Linked DNA regions of Styela clava. The protein of the gene in region 1 interacts with the protein of each later gene in a pairwise test. Links are inferred from orthologs where the notes say so. Each region holds a gene or a part of one and is shown in the gene's direction. Other genes may lie near its edges. The genes, in order: fidgetin-like protein 1, small ubiquitin-related modifier 2-A-like and rho GTPase-activating protein 26-like.

Evidence for each region.
Region 2: the proteins of fidgetin-like protein 1 (region 1) and small ubiquitin-related modifier 2-A-like interact in a two-hybrid assay, tested with the Caenorhabditis elegans proteins (3 studies listed by BioGRID). The link is inferred for Styela clava from reciprocal best matches to the Caenorhabditis elegans genes figl-1 and smo-1.
Region 3: the proteins of fidgetin-like protein 1 (region 1) and rho GTPase-activating protein 26-like interact in a two-hybrid assay, tested with the Caenorhabditis elegans proteins (2 studies listed by BioGRID). The link is inferred for Styela clava from reciprocal best matches to the Caenorhabditis elegans genes figl-1 and T04C9.1.

What each region holds. Positions count from the first base shown.
Region 1 is NC_135262.1:2,057,940-2,065,807, reverse strand, and holds the start of fidgetin-like protein 1, read left to right. Parts: upstream 1-4,765; 5' UTR 4,766-5,506; coding exon 5,507-5,717; intron 5,718-6,138; coding exon 6,139-6,549; intron 6,550-6,805; coding exon 6,806-6,907; intron 6,908-7,269; coding exon 7,270-7,394; intron 7,395-7,732; coding exon 7,733-7,868. UniProt on the Caenorhabditis elegans protein: Has a role in spindle assembly which acts in the progression through mitosis during embryogenesis. Required for fertility.
Region 2 is NC_135251.1:15,394,411-15,400,558, reverse strand, and holds small ubiquitin-related modifier 2-A-like, read left to right. Parts: upstream 1-4,255; 5' UTR 4,256-4,394; coding exon 4,395-4,679; 3' UTR 4,680-5,572; downstream 5,573-6,148. Other genes in the region: mitochondrial ribosome-associated GTPase 2-like, read left to right, coding at 5,615-5,764. UniProt on the Caenorhabditis elegans protein: Ubiquitin-like protein which can be covalently attached to target lysines as a monomer. Does not seem to be involved in protein degradation and may function as an antagonist of ubiquitin in the degradation process.
Region 3 is NC_135260.1:17,983,394-17,990,725, forward strand, and holds the start of rho GTPase-activating protein 26-like, read left to right. Parts: upstream 1-4,226; 5' UTR 4,227-4,308; coding exon 4,309-4,431; intron 4,432-4,936; coding exon 4,937-5,063; intron 5,064-5,476; coding exon 5,477-5,579; intron 5,580-5,874; coding exon 5,875-6,004; intron 6,005-6,546; coding exon 6,547-6,678; intron 6,679-6,853; coding exon 6,854-6,925; intron 6,926-7,332.

The sequences.
Region 1 (7,868 bases):
ATCCGGGCGTAAATACTTGACTGTGAATGTGGAGTTTCAACATGGAGTGTAATTTCTACTATATCTGTACAAGGGACTAGCGAGAATTGTAGAACACAACAAACAAACAAGCGGTGCGCAATATGAGATAAAATTTACTTGATTACAAATGCACTCAACTAATAGTCTACCGGACGATAAACAACAATAATAAAAACAGCATAAAAGTAAACAACAACAAACCAAGTAAAATATGACAAGAGCATTCCACGCCCTGGCGTTCCAACTTTAGTTTTAATCAAAATTCATGTGGTTTGTGTAAGTAGGCTAGTCTTTTTTGTGGAATTCATCATTAAATATCCGTTACATTTGACGTTTGACTGTTCGTGTTATTCCCAGCTTCGTTCTCCATGATAAACTCCACGCAGGCAGCATGATCTGATGTGAACTGATCCTTATCGTTTCGGTACTATATCCAACAGCATCGTTTTGATTTAAGTTTGTATGGATCTTCTCAGTAGGGTTTATATTCGTCCGGCTTTCCAAGTTTTCGTCCAAATATTTCTTACTCCAGTAGCTATTCCACCGTCGATATTTCACGTCCGCACCCGACGGCGGTCTGATCAGTCTCTGATACTGACTTACACAATTTTATGTTTAAATATTTCACCGCACTGTGTTTCAATAAAAATCTGTAACATTGTCTTTTCTTTTAACATTGTTTTTGGAACTAAAACTCCCTCTCTCTCACTAGTCGTAATAGAAGAGACTTTCCCTAAATCTGGCAACACTGAATTTACATATTTGCAGCGGTTCCGGGAGCAGCGCGAGGTCGGCGCGGCGTTGTTTGTGAGTTCCGAGCTTCTTTCAGTCTTTTAGTGTTAGTGATTAATCCAAAAGGAATATGTATAGGGGATTTGAATATGATTATATGGCTTATGGTCCTCCACCTCCCAGGAGACGAAGAATGCCGCCACCCCGCGCGATGAATGGCTATGGAGGTGGGTACAGTGGTTATAGAGGAGATCATGGCGCGGCCTCCCTGATGAATGATTTAGAAGCGGCTGCGTATCTTCATGAATACGAAGCAGTACTAGCAGAAGAATATGCAATGGGACTTGAAAATCCATACGGTGGAGGATGGGACCGTTATCATGAAGAACCTGTGTCAATGCACCCTCCTCAAAGAAGAAGATTTCCTCCAGCTCCGAGACAGCCAGGACCTGCAAGAGGCAGAGGAGGAATAACAAACAGAGTGTCATCATATGGGGCTGATTTAGTTAATAGACAAATTATGAAAGCGCAAGAACGATTTTTGTGCCCCCAAACGAAATCAAAACCAACAATTACAAAGGATAATGAAACGACAGCCTCAACATCAACTCAGAATGAAGAAAATAACAATAATACTGGCGATAAAAAGTCTGCGGAGAATGCAGTAACGACTCCTGTAGTGCCATTAAAGTCAAAAATTACAGCCAAACAACAGTGGGAGACAAGTTATGTTGAAACCATGAAAGAAGAGTCGTTGAGACCCAAACCCGCGTCGGTTATACCATCTCCGGCAAAGAAAAACATAGAGCCGACACCAATACCTGCTCTAATGGACCAACCCCAGGTATCTGGGCTTCAGAAATCTTCCAGCAAGAAACGAAAAAACGATTGGTTCAGACGTGGTCCGTATTTTCGACGGAAGAAAAAGAAAACCTCAGAATCTGAAGGAGCGGCTCAAGAACCAGGATTTGGATTTGACGTTAACGGAACGAATGAGGGGTCAAAGGTTACAGGAAGTGAAGAGGGAACTATCTACCCTAAAACTTGTAAGGTATGTAATGTTAAACTCTATCAACCATCACAAGCCGATGACCATTACAAAAGTGAAATTCATGCAAAGAACGTCAACAATTTTTTGAGTGGGGAGGACACAAAAAAGATCGAGAGAAAGATAAATAAAATTACCGAAAACCTCCCCACACCTATAAATACTCCAGAGTGCCTCGTGTGGGAGAAAGACACAGGTGATCGCACACAAAACACTGTCAGATTCTGCCGCTTATGCTCAGTCGAAATGTCATCTTTACCAACGGCAAAACAGCATTACGCAGGAAAAGCTCACGCTAAGAGAATTAGGATCGTTCAACGAGGGAATCGACCTTATAGAAAACCTTTTAAACCGACTCATTTTGTCAGCGGCGGAGTTTTAGGAATTCAAGAAAAGCCCATCGAACCAGCTTATAGCTATAACCCAGCAGCTCACTTGGCGTTCACACAGCCTGATTCACAAATCGCGAATTCGAGCATAAATTTTAAACCATCTCTGCCTGGTGATTTTGCAAATAGTATGACACCTAGTGGACAATATTACTGCCAAACATGCAACATTGTTATTGAGCACGCAGGCAGTCTAAGCACTCATCTACAATCAAAACAACATAAATTAGCAAAAGCGAGGAGCTAACTGTGTTTAAATAATTAACTTTTTAGTCAATAAACTGGAAACTCTTTGGTGCCTTCCAAATTAGTCTTTAACTCAGGAAGCAATGAAGCATCAATGCCGCTAGATCCGTGGTTCTTAACCTTTTTTCTTCTGTGGCCCATTCTTTTTCATGCAAGGGGAAAACTACAAGACAAGCGAAAACTATTACTGCAAATATAGACACTTTCACTATAATATTCAGAATGTAAATTCCCCTGCAGTAACAAAAAACAGTATTATCGTTCATTCACTACAGTCAAAATTAACTATAGTTACACAGATGAAACCGAATTTTTCAATAATTTAAAATAGGTTTGTGGCACAGTAGTGATTTGCCAGTTGATTCTGTCGGTGAACACTTCATTGATTTTTACCCAGGAAGCAATGAAGCGTGTTTGCTGCCAGTTCAACTTCCTTTTCACAAGTCAAGATAAGTTTTATATAGTGCCGCCATTTCGTACTCTATTACATTGAATTCTTAATGTTGATTCTGTCGGTTTACACTTCATTGATTTCTACTCGGGAAGCAATGAAGCGTGTATGCTGCCAGTCCAACTTCATTTTTCAAGATTTTGGGTATTCATACTTTAATACACTGATTTCCTACATGTTAGTTTATGAGTTGACTTTGCCAGTCCACGTTTCTTTGATTCTCCTGTGCTAAGTTATTTCTGCCAATTTATGCTTCATTGATTTTCACGTGTGATGATATATTCTTGTTGATTCTGCCAGTTCATGCTTCATTGGTTACTGCATGTCTATTTATTTCTGCAAATCAATGCTCCATCGCCTTTTACTAGATGGGATATATTCTAGCATTATCTATAAGCCAACGCTTTTGAAATCCCATATGTTATACCAATCTCGTCTCATTTTGAAAAATTTTGTGTTGTTCATAACTTCATAGAATATTCATATTACTGTTTTTCAATAGTATGGTTATTTTAATGAAGAAGAAAAATTATTTTTGATAATAACTTGTGCATTCAAGAGTATTTCAAGTTCTGGTGAATTCAATACTGATGAAGAAATTGTTACTTTCGTTTTGCTTTATTGTATGTGCCACGCAGCCCACGCTATAGTATAGGATTATTTTTTTCATCACAGCTCACTTTCTGCCAATTTTTTTCATTACCATCAAGGAACTATACTAAAAATGAAGTAAAATTTAATAATTCAGAAAATATTTTTTTCAAAAAACTGATAATATCTTTAATGAGACCGATGTGCATGCATATTCTCGCACAAAAGATGGAATCTTGATAGTATTCTGGTCTCAGTACTGTTTTCAAATTTGATCAATATTTTGCATTAACATGAGAATTGTAGAAAAAGATTTTACCGCGACCCCCATTTTGCAACCCACGGGTGGGGTCGGGACGCAGAGTTTGAAAAATCTTGATATAGAATATGGATTATTTACTGCACGCTTGGTAATTCAGCTGAATTCTCTGCATTTGACTGACAGGGGTAACTAAAGCCGAAAAAGTTAATATTCAAATTAATTACAGTTATTAATTTCATAGCTATTATTACCATTCATCCATTTCCCTGAGGATTTGAGTGTATGTCCACATTTATTCGTTTTTCTCTGTTTGTGCAGTTAGTTATCTTTGTTCTTTTCAATGTGTATCTGTTCACCTTGGAATGCTTAAAACATTCAATGCATTAAGATTGCTATTTCATCATTTGGTTTTTCATTAAGAAATTGATAGAATCCATTTTTGTTTCACTGCTCCAGGCCCTAGCTCCATGGTACTCGGTACTAGAAGCCATTGAAATGTAATACATACAGTAGAATCTCGTAAGTTGCTATTTAAAATCATTTCCATTGAGTATTTTAGGAATGCCTAAAAACCTACTTCGTCAGGTGTCTTTCATTGTGTTTGAAGAAACCTTCTCTAGCCGTGATTCCAGTTCCAGTGAAATATCAAAAGCTCCAGGTTCTCAGTCCTTTGTTAGAAGCCATTGAAATGTAATTTGCTTTTAAAAGCAATAATTTTTTTTGTCAAATATAATCAATTTCAAATGTATTTGTTGCTTTTTCCCTGGGCACATTTCCACCCTTGGCACTGTTCTTTATTTATGAGTGATTAAATTATGTTGACTAAAAATTGCTGTAAATTTGTGATTTCATGTATTTCTTCTCATTATTTAACTGTATATATTTCTTTTTAAGCTATTACAGTCATAGGGCTTAGGAGCTTATTAGCTAGAGATTTAATTTAACATAGAAAATAAAATTTTGGTGGAGACTGTCGAACAAATTGTTGAAGAATTTAACACACAGGCTCGGGACTTTGTTGTCAACTATTGGAAATGTTGGAATCTTATTAGATCAGTGATTTTTAAACAGTCGAACAGGCCCTGCGAGTGGGGGGTAGACAATTTTTTGAGGGTGTGAAGCTAATAAAAAAAAATTATTAAATTTGATCTTGCCAGCCTTAATTTGGATATTTACATTTCTTTATTGTTTATTAAAGCAGGGTCGTCCAACCTGTGGCGGAAGATTTCCAAGTGGCCCGCGTGGTATTATTCAAATCCCAATGTCTTTTACGAATCTGAGCCAATATTGAAACCTTTAATAAAAAAAATTGTTTATCGTCGTTCAAACGCGCGAAAAGCACCACCCAGCTATCGAAAGCCTTTTTATGTCCCTATGTGGGCCTTGTTGCTGGATAGAGATGTCTGAATTTATTTTTATCGTCTACAATGTATTTCAATTTGTTTTCGTGTCTTTTTTTCTGTGAAGCCCAGAAAACGCATTTGTGTTTTCAACTTGTAGTCAGTATAGTGAAAACTAGAACATAACTGCCATGTCAAGTGGCCCGCGCAATCATTCGTAAACTAAATGTGGCCCTTCGGCAAAAAAGGTTGAACAACCCTGGTTTAGAGATTGCGATGCTATCCACGTATTTTCAACATGTTTTTTGAATAAAACATATTTTCACCTTACTATTTGTTAGCTAGTTATTTTTGAGGTGGGGCACAAAACTTGACCAATTCTAAAAAGGGCGTAAAAAGTTTGAGAACCACTGTATTAAATTGACAATGGCAAAAGCTGATAATCCAAACTACTCCGCCTGGAGATCACGGGAAATCAAATTAAATGAAGAAAATATCACACCGTGGGAGGCAGCTGAATTACGAAGGGACAATATAAACCAACTGTGTTTTGAACTTGATTCTGAGGAATTAGAATTAGATTTATTCTCAGATCTGTTTCGGAAGGAATTAAATGAATATTCAACTATTGTAGATGGTGAGTGGTGTGCGTTTAGGGAGATATAAAATAATATAGGGTCTACATGAAGTCTTACAATTTTCAAAATTATGAGGGGATTTTATCGATACCATATTTGTCTTGGCCCTCACAGATGTATTATATGAAGTAAAAATACTTAAACAATTACTAATTAAAAACAACGAACCTGGTTAAGATATATTGAGATCTGGCTTCATAACAAAATTGAAATTGTAAAAGGACTTTATGGACACCTTGTATGTATAAATTTGAAATAGAAATATTCTTGATTATTCCTAAAATTGGAAATTTTTGATTTGACATAGTCCAAGTTATCTTATTGTAATTTGGTGAACACAATAATGTTTGTCATCTGACCATATTTCTTCTCCTCTAATGTATAACCTAAAATTTCTACATATTTTCTTTATTATTCCAGGTGAAGACAGCACTAAATCATTTCAAGAGACAGTGAAAACTTTAGTCCCAGATTATAAGAAAAACTTTGAGAAATTCCAATCAGGACTTACGACTTCAAAACTACTTGAATTAAAAAATGTCAAAACTGCCTTTGAGCAGTGTAGGCTCCTATCAGAGCCTGAAAACAATGAAATTAGGAAAAATGAACATGTTATAGTCCCAGTTGGGTCGAAATCGGGTAAAAATGGTCCAAATTTGACCTCGAATTCAAAAGAAAGGCTAAAATCTTTTAATATTTATCAAAAAGTCCCGAAAGATGGAAAAATTACAGAAAATGAAAATAAACGAGGGTTTTTTGAAGAAACTTTGAGAAAAAGTAAAAGGAAATGTGTTGTTCCGGACGACAATATTGAAGTTGGAGACAACGAAGGTAATTATTTTTGCTGTAGCTACTTGCAATCAATCAAAGGTCAATTGACTTGTTGCTCTGATGTTTATAAGCCAATATTATTAGAAATAATTGTATATACTTTTTCAAGTTTTTAATTCAAAAATGAAAATTTAGTCATTCCTGCGGTTTTGTGTCTCTAACCTGAACCTGGGATCTACAAAATAGCAGCCTTGCCAGATATCTCAATGTTATCCAAACTAATTTTTTAACCTTTTTTATCATTATAAAATGGTAGGTTTATTCTCTGGAGTCGAACCCGAGCGTAAATTTCATTTCAAATCAGCGAAAGAGCAATATGAGATTGATAAGAAGAAAGGAAAACATACATCTCCACAAGGTAGATGATTATAGATGGGAATGTTTTGATAGAACTATTGAATTTCCGCTATAGGAGACCCTTAGTCTCTGTCGTTTTTTTCTGTCTGTGTATGTGTCGAAGCTGTAGCGTCTAAACGGCTAAACCAATCTGTTAATATTTCTGACGTGGGTCATCCTTCCACCCTAGTAATGTGTGTTTCATTGAAAGTCCGGAGTGAAGTTTCGTTTCCATGGCAACAGCAAAAAATTGCACAGATCTCATTATGCTTATTCATAGATAATGTAGGAAAACACAGTGTATAGCGATAGTAACTCTTCGGGCACCTTGCCTAAAGCCTGGTTTAGAGAGCCTAAAAAAACAGATGATTATTTCTCTTGCAGGTACCTCAAACAACAACATTCCTGCAGGGAAGAAATCACTTGGTGCTCGACCTCGTAATAATTGTTTTGGGAAGTTTGTTCCACCGAGCTCAAAAGATCAGAGAGAACAGAATGAAAGAGATTGTGTAAGTTGTGTTTATTTGTAGAGAGTATAATGAATAGGATTTGTAATACAAACGAGATAGGTGAGTCTGTGAAGTTTGATATTTGTGTTAGCCGCAACAGCCACGACCCGTCCCGCCAAGTCTATTAGTGTGTCCCTTGTCAACACTCGAGTCTTTTCCCCATCAAGCATAAAATTTGAAGCTATAGCTGTATTCTCTTCTCTTGCCGTTGTTTATTATGGCGTTATAGTTCTTTTCTTATATATTTTTAAATCTATAAAAGTGATTTTATAAATAGAAACTTCAAAAGTGGGGTTAATGATCCTTTTTATTAAATTTTTTCGTTTCTAATTTCTCAGTCTCTTCTTCGGAAATGTGGACAAAAAACTGGCAACAATGAGATGGACATAGATGAGATTGATCCAAGATTGAAAGGTCTGGATCCCAAGATAATAGAACTCGTAACAAATGAGATTATGGATCATGGACCCCCAG
Region 2 (6,148 bases), on another chromosome or scaffold:
CCTCAGTGCAATGTTTTCACCACATATCTGTCCGAAGTTAATGATAAATGAAAGAAAGTAACCAAAAATATAAAACTTCAATATCATCAATTGATTGACATAATGCCATAGCATAACGCAAAAATGGAAAGTATATCTTGAAGACAAAATAACATTATCTGACTATCCGTAAACCAGTAACTCAACTGTAAAACGGAATCCAATGAACACAAATTATAATTAAATTTACATTACGCATTTTGTGTGTGTAACACCTTAGTTTGCACTGGACTACAGATTATTAGACCAGCGCACTGATGATTAGGAACAATGTAGATCTATATTTACCTACGTTTCCAGAGTGATTCTGTATCCTTATTTCTCAATCCGTGTGAGATATATTATCTCTAAAATAAACAAAAATCCCTACTCGATACAACTAGAGGCACGCATTCCAAGCCTGGCACCCAAGCACAGCCATCTGGCACGCGAGCGTGTTCTTGGAAACGTGGTCCTCCCTTAGATAAGATTTGAATACTTATCCTGGGGGTGAGAAAAGCCGATAAGACAGCTTAAACATAATATAGCGAACCATGGCCCCTCCAGTTACCATTCCATGTCGGGTATGGGACTAGTTAGTTATTGGACCTTACAATTGGACACGTCAGTGTACATAACGATCGTTTCAATATTATGCTGTTGTTCTTGTTAGTTTTCTCTTTCGTCATGATGAAATCGCTGTTCTCTACGAATACTATACCAATTGCTTCTAAATTTTCAGCGGTTAAAGATTGTTTTTTTTTGTCAAAAGGCTATTGTTTTTACTTATTTCAAAAATTTTGTGGACTTCAAGAGATTCGTTTTTTCATGTCAGAATAAAATAGCGACACCTTGTGACGTATCCATATATTTGAGCACAGCTCTCTTGTATGTTTTCGGAAGCATGGACTTGATGGTGGAGAAAGCCGTATACCCGACTAGCGGTTACGTGAATCATTCTACGGCGACGTGGAGTCCAGCAATGCTCTTGCACATTACCTATTAACTGAATATTCCGTTAACTATGATATTACTATCCCCGCATGATATTCGGACCTGCGAACATACGTTTTCAGAGGTGCGGTAGCGGGCGTATTCCTAACGCTTAGCACGATGAGCCACACCACCGCGCCATCTTTAGATAAATGTCGTATTATCTGATGAAACTTAATGTTTTTGTTTTATCTTCGTTTGTTAACAATCCGTTCTTTACTTAAACTAGGGTTGCCATATGCTATATTTTTCCCTGACATGTCCGGGATTTCAGTAGTCAAATTTGCGCCAGGGAGAAATGTTAAATGTCAGGGATTTTCGAATACAGGGAATCTCTGCCACAAATCGTCGAGTTTTTCATATATCGCGGATACACGGAATCCTATTTCCTAAGATCGTGAATTGTCAGCATTTTGTAATCGATATTTTGGTTGGACTACCTTTACCTGTACTTTATCCCGTTCTAGGGCTTAGTAGTGCTAAGGATTAAGCAACAAGTTGGCTCTTTTCGTTTTGCTGTGTATGTATTCTTTTCTCACGACGTTTTTCACGTTACAAAGAAATATATTGTAGGAAGTTGTAGATCGCGTGCTAGTTTGGCTTGCTTATTTATTATCTACATCCGCATATGGAAGTGAATTACTGTTCTCAGTGATGAACTTTTTTTAAGTATCGTAAAAGAAGTACCTGACTGATGAAGGTATTAGTTTGTGTATTTCGTTGAAGGTTACAAAATATGGGGCTCCCGAAGTATGCGAACCAAGATGGTGGACATCGGAATGTAATATTTGTACTAGGTTAGGGTTAGGCCATAATTTTAGGTATAAATACTACGAGAGGCTCTTGGCTAGTCTTCGAACTGATAATAGGACTAACATAAGGAAAATTGGAAAAAAATTATCGCCTAACCCTAACCTGTTACCCATGTTACGTTCCGATGTCCGCCATCTTGGTTCGCATACTTCGGGAGCACCCAAAATATAAACCTGATATAAAATTTATGTCAACGATAATACAGTAGCAGAAGTCTCACTGAAATAGCAAAAGAAAATTGATAAAAATATTTTTGTCGGACTAATATTTTCTTGAAATGTAATTTAATACCTGTTTAAAAGGTTTATTATCCTGCAGGTTTTGCTTTGAAAGTAGCAAAGCATTGTTTTTAAAAAGAATAAATTCATATTTGATTTAATACATTTTCACAAATTCATTGCCGAGCGGAGGAATTTTGCCATTTTATTTAGTCAATTTTGGCACGCAAATCAAAAAAGGTTACCCAATGCCCACCAGTGGTGAGCTGTGGCCGGAACGACATTCCGGTTGTATAAGTTCCCCCGACCTTTCACCCCGTGAAAATTCATTCTATACCTTCCTAATGAGGTTTGTATTGAATTGCTATGAATACTTCAATAATTTCACACAAACATATTTCATATATATAATTTATTTGCAGTTCTGTAAACGTCCGCGTCGTGTTCGGAATATATTACATTTTTGTGAATTAGGTGCGTTCCGGTTGTTACGATTTTTCCAGCTCATCACTGATGCCCACCCTTTATATGTTTATGGATGTGTATATTTTATGATTAGTGATCAATAATGCTGTAACTGTACTGTGTCAACTGTGCTTTAAATATCAATAAAAAAATTATCAAATAAAATAAGACACAAATAAAAAATACTCATGAAACATCATTATTTATTGTCGAGGTCCTTAAATCCCGAGGGGGCATCTGACTCTGATGCCCAAGTTGAATCGCTTCATTCTCGGAACATTTCGATCTATTCACCAAACTCGGTGTGCCATAGCGATGCCTATGCGCAATCACCGTGTTCATATATTCGAGCATTGCTTAATTGTTTTACTATGTATACAGTAATAATATCATTATTACAAAATTTACCGAACAAATGAATCACATGGACATCTAGTTATTTGGTTTGATAAATTTAACGATTGAATGTAGAACACGTGGGACGAGTCGGACACGTAAGACAAGTGGAACACGACATTTTGAAGACACCGCATAAATCGTGTGTTTTTGCTTTGACAAATTAAATGAACTTTCTTTCCCACTCTCTCTCTCTACATCTACAATAACGCGTTCATAATTTAGTTGTATTGTCTGCTAGGCTTACCCCTACTTCCACCTTTATCAGTGACGTCTGCCGGCATAAGATAAATTTACAAACAAGTCGTAAAATGCAATTCAAGAAAACAACATTCGGAGTTAAAAGCCTTTCTCTAAGATAACAGCAAACAAACTGTTAGCAAAATATCACTCCACATGTGATAGTATAACCACAATCTATGCCATCATATGTTCGTGTCGCTGGTTCGAATAATTTCTCATTTTTATTTTTAATATTTATTTAGTATATAATACTGTAAATCTTCTAATTATATATCCCGTGTATATGCATTTATCAGCAACTGCCACTGTTAATAATGCACGTATAGTTTGCTTTTGTCTTATAATAAAATGAGAATTTACATATTCGGTCACACTTCATTCGGCAATAATTGTTTTTCCGCCATATTCTGGAATCCTGTTCAAAACTGTGCAAATTTTTATCATCATTATGAACGTCATTATCATTGCACTGATAGATATGATGAATTGAACAAGTTTATATGCTCCTGTATATGTGATCGAGAATCTCCATTTCCCGTTCTTTGACATGGCTTATGTACACTCTCCTCTCTGTTAAAATTAGAGGAAGTTACTTTATTTCGTTGTTATCTTAATATTGGAACCCAGTATTTATAAAGTGAAACTATTGGGCATTTGTGCAAGTTTAATATGGTATACTCTTCCAAAAACCACTGGATGGGATAATTGGGTCTAAGCACAAAAAGCACTCAATTTTACTTTGTTTTGCTCGTTTGCATTTTGCTGAAGTGAACTCGTGGGTTGTTTCGACTCGCACAGTCCGCTGAAATTCTCATTGTTTTGCATTTTACTGAACGTGAAGTCGACCAATGCATCGTTTCGAGTTCGACCCGCACTGTTTGCTGAAATTTTCATTGTTTTGTATTTAAAAGTTATTGCCTAATTTTATATCGTGTATGTTTCCGGGACCCCTGCAATTTTTTCTCCTTTTGTGGTTCTGTTGTATTGATTGATTGATTGATAGTCGTCAAACCAGCATTTGCCGGTAACCTAAGAAAAGGCTAACGAGAACAACAACATACCAACAAAACTATCCATTGGTACACTTCAAGTCAAGTTTTTGTAATCAATATTCTGCCCCGGAAGATGGCGCACTAATTCCGCGCCGTCGTCCACGCTTTGTGATGGTTGTTGTTGCGCTGCGGCTCAATTCAGCTTGACTTTACTGTTAACGAAATACAGAAGTTGTGTGAATTGTTCAGGCTTGTGATGGCTGATGCAAAACCTAAGGATGTTAAGCCTGACGGCGATCAACATATAAACCTAAAGGTGTCAGGACAAGATGGCTCGGTAATTCAATTCAAGATTAAACGTCGCACGCCAATGAAAAAACTGATTACTGCATATTGTGATCGGCAAGGAGTTCAAATAGAAGCCATGCGGTTTCGTTTTGACGGGACGGCTATTTCGCTCGAGGACACCCCAGAAAAGCTTGAAATGGAGGACGATGATACAATAGATGTTTTCACTCAGCAAACTGGTGGAAACCTGTAAATATTTTCCAAGCAGCTTGTCTGGAATGTTTATACTGAGAGTATGATGATTATCTTACCTTTCTGCCTTTATAGACCATCAAATGATGGTGGTTCCCACCGAGACTGAGATTTAATGGTAATTTACTGACAAACTGCTCAAAAATGCCATGGACAAATGGAATACTCTCTTGTCCAGTTGTCTGTTTTGTGATCTATCAAATGGCTATTTCGGTATTCAGATGAGACTATGATATATTAGAATATGATACCGCATACGCATAATATTTCGATATGTTGGCTAATTATTGTATTCTATTGTCAGATACAGTAGATATGACATTACAACCAAATACCCAGGTACTAGTAATGTTGAATATGAGTTAAACATAATATAACATATTATTTGGCTGACACTGAATAAGGCTTTGAAAAATAATCATTATGAACAACTGGAAAGCAGAGTAATGTAAAGTTGTTATAATTCTATGTTTACATTAATTGCTGAATTGTTCTGTTCAATCATATTTTTACAAAAATGAAAATAGTATTCCCATTTATTTTGATATTTGTTTCCAATTTAGACCTTTTTAAAATTGCTGAATTGTGGTATCAAGTTTTTCTTTCTAGGCTATGTTAGTATGTTTCTTTTAAGTAGTCCTGTTACAATATCATAGAAATATGGTGTTTTGGTTGAGTTTTTATTATCAAGTGACACACATTATTATAAGCAAATAAACCTTGAAATCCTGAAATCAGTCGATTCAACAACTGCTATTATTTGGTAATGAAATATTCCTTGTGCTGAAGAATAAAACTGCATTGATTCGAAGATGTTTCATTTTGTCATTTATTCTATTTCCATTTTCTGTTCATTGTTTATAAAATAATGTCTGTCTGTCATATTTTAGTAAATTTAGATTAAAATCACTATATATAGCATGATATAACTGCTAAATGCTTTGTATATCACATAGAATAATTAGTCTTTTTTGTAACAAGTCATGCCATTTCACATTTATTTGCAATACTTTCTCTATTTCATCTCAATATTCTCGTAAGAAAAAAATTATCACTGGCAAGCCATATAGAACGGAAGAAGAATTGGTAAGATATAGCCGATTCCTTAGGTAGTGATTGGCTGTTCCTTATATTTGATTCATAGAATGCCAGTGTGTCAAATCAAAAGTTTTTTCCAAGTTGTTTCTATCTGAATGATACAGTTTAATAAACCCTTTTTTGGTTGACTTAGAGAATGACTGAAGTGATTTTAGCTTTTTACGAATTTAAATAAATTAGTTTAATGTGGTATATTACTATCCGCATTGTGACCAAAGTTTTAGATGGCACTTATGCCATGAATAACATCACTGCATTAAGTTTGAATGGTTTGCTTGCTACCAGTTAAAATGCACATTGAGTAAAATGTAACGATGTGAAGTTTGCCAATCAGTACTGAAGTTATGCATTTATTAATTGATGCCACTTGTG
Region 3 (7,332 bases), on another chromosome or scaffold:
AAACTGTACATGTATGGTTCATGTTCATCATTGAGCTGTGTTGTGACTGGGAGTCGAATCAGGTTTAACTTGCTGCTGTTATAATTATGCTTGTTTATTTTTAATCTGAACTAAACGCAAAAATATTAAACTTTCTAATGTTTGATAGTTTTTGTTAAAATATCCTGCAGCATCAAACTAGTGAGTTCACAGTTTAGGTAGTGGTTTGTCAATTTGTATTGATTTGAATTTTCGAATTCAGCACAGATACTGACATATTGGTTTAAACTATAGTGTCATTTCTGATCCTATTGGAGGGGAGAACTGCTGTTTTGAGCCCCAATATCACAATATTTAAATTGGTGTATGAACTTCGACTGTTGGCAAAATTGCACCATATTTGAAGTTTTGATTCAGTCTTTACTTTAGATTCAATATAAGGTTATCAAACAAATCTAAGTTTTTAAAAATAGAATCCTATATGACTATTAAGGTTATATTTTCTCTTTTGGTTATATATGTATGTCAGCAACCTTGAATCTGCCTGCATCTATTATTGTCTTTTTAAGTTTGTTATTTTGCCATTTTTGGACATTGTTATAAAGATTTCAAATCTTATTAACAAAATCTTTTTATGTTATTTATATAACCTCTCTCTATGTTATTGTCTGGATTTTTATGATTTCCTTTTAATTTTTCTATCCTGACGACTCCATTAAAACAAAAAATTGTGCACTGTTTGGCGGTCCCCGGTCGGATTTCAGCGATCAGATTATCAGCGAAGTGAGGAGTTTTTTCATGAGGAAGACAGTACAGGTAGTAATGCAAACGATTTAATAATACTAATTTGTGTCCAGATATTCATTGTTTCATCTTCAAACCTGTTCCGTGCATTATATTTCAGTCTCTTCATTATGGAGAAAGTGCTTTGTCGATAACATTCTAAAGGCTAAATTCTTTAACTTTGGAAACTGCTCATTGCTCCCAATATTATCTATGTTTTAGATTATATTATTTTTTACGAGGCACAGGAGGTATCGTGGCGATATTTATTAAATTCCCTGACATACATGTAGCAATTTTTGTCTTAATGATTTAAGCTGGTTATATATAAAAGGGAGGGCCAGGGAGGGTATTAGTAGGCATAGCCAACCTGGGATAATAGAATCTCATTTGATTTTTAGTTGTCTACGAAGCTTGTTGAGATATTTTCAGCGGATATCCCAAAGGAAATAATAGAATCAATTTGTGGAAGTTTGAAGTCATTTAAGGCTGTCAAAATTTAAGAACCGACTTGAGCTAGGTAACAATATAAATGTTAGTGATGTAACACTATTTCAGAAGATCTTTTTTGGTTATTTTTATCACAAAACAATACCAAGTGCGATTTTTTGGTTACGCTATATCACTAATTGTTACCTCTACTAGCACACAGGCCACAGATAATAAGGCCTGGGATGATAATGGCCCTGGATTTGGACCGTCCTGGTTTAGTTCATGCTCTTTGGATTACTCTCATACACAATACTGTAAAAATAACATTCTCTAATTGGACAAATATTTTGAAAGCTCATCTTAAATTATGATTCATGCTTTAGGAATGGAAAATTTTAAAATATATGTTTAATAATATGACAAATTTTGCCTGACTATTATGGCTTCAATTTGAATTTGTTGTACTTAATCTGACTTGCTACAGAACAATATTAGTTAATTGTTGAGTCCTCACATGTTTATATGAATTTGGTTGATAAACATAATTGAATTTTGAATTCTTGCTTCAATAAATATATCATGCATAATTACATGAATTTCAAATTTGAAAAGACCAATTTTAGTTTGGTAAAGTTTATTGTTTGTGATCAATTGCTTTGGAATCGCGCCTAGTGTCTAGTGTTATATATTATTTTTGACAAAGAGGAATGGTGTTAATTAATACATGAAATGTTAATTAGTTGCTAAAATGCAAACTTGTCACTTCTAGAGGCATCAGATGCACGGCTGTCTGTACTGCTATGTTTCATTGCTTTTGACCTGCTATTTTTTGCATAGTGGAGGTCATTTGATTCAATTTTAAATAAATTACTGTAATAAATTTGAGAAAAGTCTGAAACTTATTGCGCCAATATAACTATTGAATGTCTCTTCAAGTAACCAAGTTTTATTGTCATAGCAATATGATGAAACTTCCTTAACCTTCTTTCTTAAAATTGAGTGGGAAATAAATTTCTGAAGATTCCATTTTTTTTGCCCAATTTTTTTTGGTGTGCAGTGATTTCGTCATATTACATAGGCAAAACGAGAACCTAATTTTTTATTTGTTACTTCCGAATAGACCAAGTAATCAGAAATTTTTTATTGGCTTCAGTAGTTATGATCAATATCATGATTTTATGATGTCATTTTTCTAGCCAAGTCTTCCCCTACTTGTATTCATGTATATTCAATCTAATGACTTATTTAAACAATCAACAATCAAGTATATGCTTCAATGAAAAATATTATATTGGTTCATGACAAGTTGAAGAAAACACCGGTAATTATCGGTATGATATTCACAAGTGTTTTGCTATGCTATGGATAGTTATTCTGTTGCTTAATTTGTTATCATGAAATGAATGTTTCATGTTAAAAAAACAAGATGTGGGCTACGCTGATATCAAACTGTGAGTCACATTTCCCCCGCATTGCATTTAGGCTGATTTAATTGCAAAAAATCTTTTGCTGTGTTGTTAGTCAAATCAAGCATCCAATTTTTATTGAGAATACGTACAACTTAAAAAATATGCCCATTTGTACAGGATTTTATATGAGGTGTAATTAGAGGTAGTTTGCAGGTTTTTAAAAATATGACTTACCGTATATGGATGTACTATCGATAATTAAAGTTGGAGTTCTTTTGAAATCCCTGAATGTTCAACTACGGTAAGTCATCAGGATGTTCCTTGTTATTAACAACTGTGTTGAATGTTTCAAAATTTTTTATCTCCCTTGAGGATAAACACAATGTCTGTTTCTGCATCATCCTGACATGCATGGTTTCCTTGTTTTTGAGTTGTTAAATTATTGGTGTAAAGATATTGGCACTTTTGCAGCTGTTGGAGAATGTTTGACTTGTTTCTAGTATTAATTATGTTGAGCTGTTTGTCAATTCATGCTTTAGTCATGATAAGTTGATAACCATAAATTTAGCCTCGATGCTTTCCATACTTTTATTACATAATAGTGGCCAAATTGTATGTATAATTTTTCAAAAAAATACTTACAGCAATAGAGAGAGTTAAATAGGACATACTTCAAGGTTAATGTGATTTTAATGAATTATTAAGTTCAAGCAAAATACGGTGGGCCTGTGTTATGCTGCGTATTCCTAAGTTGTTGAACATTTTTCTCGTCTGAATTAATCTACTTTTTCTATTTCGAAAATATCAAACAAAATATAAGTTACAGATAGTTATCACCAATTAATATGTTCACATTTCATTCGGGAGATAAGCAATAAATTCCCAATAAAAACTAATTTTAGAAATATTAATTATGCACATTGTCAAATCTGTCATGTTTACAACTTTAATTTGCAGTGATTGAGTATTATCAATTAGAAATGTCTACATCTACTTTATTAATCTCTGTCCATTATTGTTTTTGATGCATGTGCAACATAAATATATGAAAAAAAGGGAGTAGTCCTATTGTTTGGATTCATTACTCTTTATGACTATTTTTCGAGAACATTTTGAAGGATATATTTTTATTTGATAAAAAGTAAGCAATTAGGTAAATGTTTGCAAACATAGGACATTGTTTTTCGGTATTTACTTTGTTTACCGTTTTAATAGGTGATCACCAGCACTGAAATTCTTGTGGTATATCATATTGCATTATTAGGGCTCAAATATATTGAATAAAGTTAGATAGGAAGGAAGTACACAAAGGGCTGTGGTTTTGTTTAGCAAATTTGCACATTGAAATTAGTCATCTGTATCTAAATAACTCCTGTTGTTTGCAATTTCTCTATGCTGTCTATTCTGTTTTTTTTATTTAATAAATACTGCACATACAGGCAAAATGTTCTTATTAAGAAAGCAGTAACTTTGATAGTCTGCATTCAAAGCAACAATTTCAGATAATTATACTGTGAAATTACCGAATCAATACCGAATTTTATTCAAAATATATTGTCTGGATATCTCATGTGGGAGCCGGTAATAGGCCTGGAGTTTGTGTCTTTGAGCTTTCTAACATAACAATTATTGAATATACAGTTCTGCAGATTAAAAATAATAGACTTATAAATGCAAAACTGATTTTGAAATCTTGGAAAACAAGATGGTTCTTCATCCATTGGAATTTTCTGAATGTTTTCTTGATTCTCCTTGGTTTCGTCAAAGCATAAAAGAATACGAAGATGAATTGGAAAGGACAAATTCACAAATAAAGTCTTTAATCAAGGTGAATTTTAATTCTTTTGATAGCTCTCCTTTTCTATAACTCCACTGTTGATACTTATATGTATATTAATGCACATACTATAGTGCAAAAAATTTGTTTATAAAAACAGAGTCATTTTACATTTTGTCAATTAATATTTCATATGAATAACCTAATCTCTTTTCATGGAACAGTATGTTTATTTATGAGTCTTCGTTAGACCATGATCTAACGAAAGCTCATAAATAAACTTGCTATTTCGTGGGAAGAAATTATGTTATTCATATTTATCTTTATATACTATCTTGTTCGAGCATCCTTGTGGCAACTGACACATACCGATCCGCAGTAGAAAGTAAACAAGGAGAAAGGACTTGCAGTTCAGTACACAATGCCCAAGCCTAGTACACTACATATTGGCACTTCTAATATTATATAGCAAATATTCTTCCCCCAGTTTATGCGACTACAAGTTATTAACTACCGGTAATTAAAATTTAAATAAGCTAAAATTAATCTTTTCCAGGATGCGAAGGCCATGTTGCAGGCCTCACGTAAACAAGGAGAAACAATGCAGGCATTCAGTGAAAGACTGAAAAAATTTCAGTTTGAAATCATTGGAGAAAACTTGACAGATACGGAACGTGGAATTGGTGTGTTGATTATAATTCAAACAAACTAATACAATTGACTATAACTATATTCTTAAGGTGTGAATTTCTTTGCACATTATATTCGCTGGTTGATCAAATATTTGAATAAACTATTATCATACTACTAATATTGTCTCTAGTATGATTCACAGAGTTTATTATTTAAGTTCTATCACTTTAATGATACTTTATGTAGCGATTATTTTCACCAAAATTTATCAAGCACTCTTCTGCATGTGGGATGATTTCGCTTTAGTTTAAAATTTGCTTCAGTTTGAGTTCGGATCATAATTATGATAGTTGGATGGGTGAGTGTTGCAAATTGCAAAGAACGATCATAAGTCTATACTGGGTGAATAAGTTTTAATGTACTTTTGGCCTATAGTTGAGCTAATTTTCACTTTCCATTTCAGCTGGCTCTTTGAAAGAGTTTGGAATGATGCTTGAGGAAATAGAGGAGGAATGGACGAGAACAATTGAAAGATCTGAATTACAGTTAATACAACCACTTGAAAAGTGAGCAATTTTCTTTGTATTTTACTTTCATGTGATTTGATTTTCTTCGAATAAGGCTCTGCACTATGTAAATAAGTCATTATGGACAGCTTTTCAAATTCATGCGAGGATTCATTTTCCATATCAGAAAATTTGTCTCAATTTACGAAATTGTATGTATTTGAGCTATTCACTGTCATTCTAATGATTCTATTCATAATTTTAGGAGAAACGTTTACCCACTTCGAATCTGTTTAGTGAGATCACTTCCTTTTTTCTTATTTGGGAAAGTTACAATTGTTTATTCCTGTCCCAGGTTTCGAAAGGAACATATCCATGGATATAGAGACGCCAAAAAAGGTTTTGACAAAGCTAGTGAAAGATACTATAAACAAATGGAACAGACATTGGGATTGTCTCACAAGAAAAAGGAAAATTTATTATCAGTGAGTCATTTTTAAAATTAGATATGAAAATTTTATAGTCTTATAATAAAAATTAAAAGCTCTAAAACAAATTTTCAATTTAAATTAAATTGATTCTGTCATGTTAGATTTTGTGTTGGGGTTCTCATTATATTCAAATATTTGTCGAAAATATAACAATTTTATTTAAACAGCAGCTGATATAATAAAGCAGTTCAAAGTTCAACCAGTGATAAAATATTATGTGCAAGTGCAATGGAAATGTACACAAATTTGATAGGATTGCAGTTTTAATATTGCCAGGAAGTTGTTGAACAACACCAATTATCTCATAGAGAATACAAAGCTTGACAAAAATAATAAATTAGGATGTTGTTTTTATGATTCAACTCAACAAATTTCATATTCATCTCGAATAACTATTGAAAAGCTTTGTATTGACTTGACAATATTGAATCACACTGTGTTATCATTGTATGTAAAGTATATTTTTGATGTGAGTCAATCTAAAAAACTCACTTTTATTTGTATATATCGGACTGAAGTTTAAATTTTTATTGTAGGAATCTGACAATGAACTTGGAATTCAAAAGAAAAATTTCCACTCTTCCTCTCTCAACTATGTTTATAAATTGCAAGAAGTTCAGGAACGAAAAAAATTTGAATTTGTTGAACATTTACTCATGTTCATGCAGGTAAGTGCCCTTTGCCCATTATCAGAAGTAGTCTTCACTGACATATTTTGATTTTATTTTAAGTTTTTTTCTGAATTTGTCTATTCAAGCTGATATTTAATTCGGTAACCTAAGAATTGATTCTATTTATATACAGTAGTTTTCCAGACAAGTTTATTCTGATTTCAACTTTCAGGTTTACTTCAATTTTTTTCATCAAACTCACGAAACTGCCTTCGATTGCAAGGAATATATGAATGATATTCAGGTATGTTTTACAATCTATAATATCTTGCTTGTTTTCCTATTGAAATACAGATTTTTGGCTAATACATTATAGGGGGGTGATAATGCAGTGTGTGTATCTTTGCTATTTCATACATGAAGAAAATAATCATGTAATATAAATTCTTTTTGACTTGAATATTACATAATGCTTGTGTGAAACATGGGAGGCTCTTGAATTTTTATTTGTTTTATTAGAAAATACAAGTATAGTGTATGCTTTGTATGAAAGTTTTCTGGAAGTTTGATGTATCTGAATTGAACATATTATACAGGTTGCATTTGCAATATAATCACTGTTATCGAATTTGATCTTATAGTTTGTTGTGTGCCTCGGGCAAATAAGAGTAAAACTTTTTATCTTGTTTTAAAATCGTGTATATATCCAAA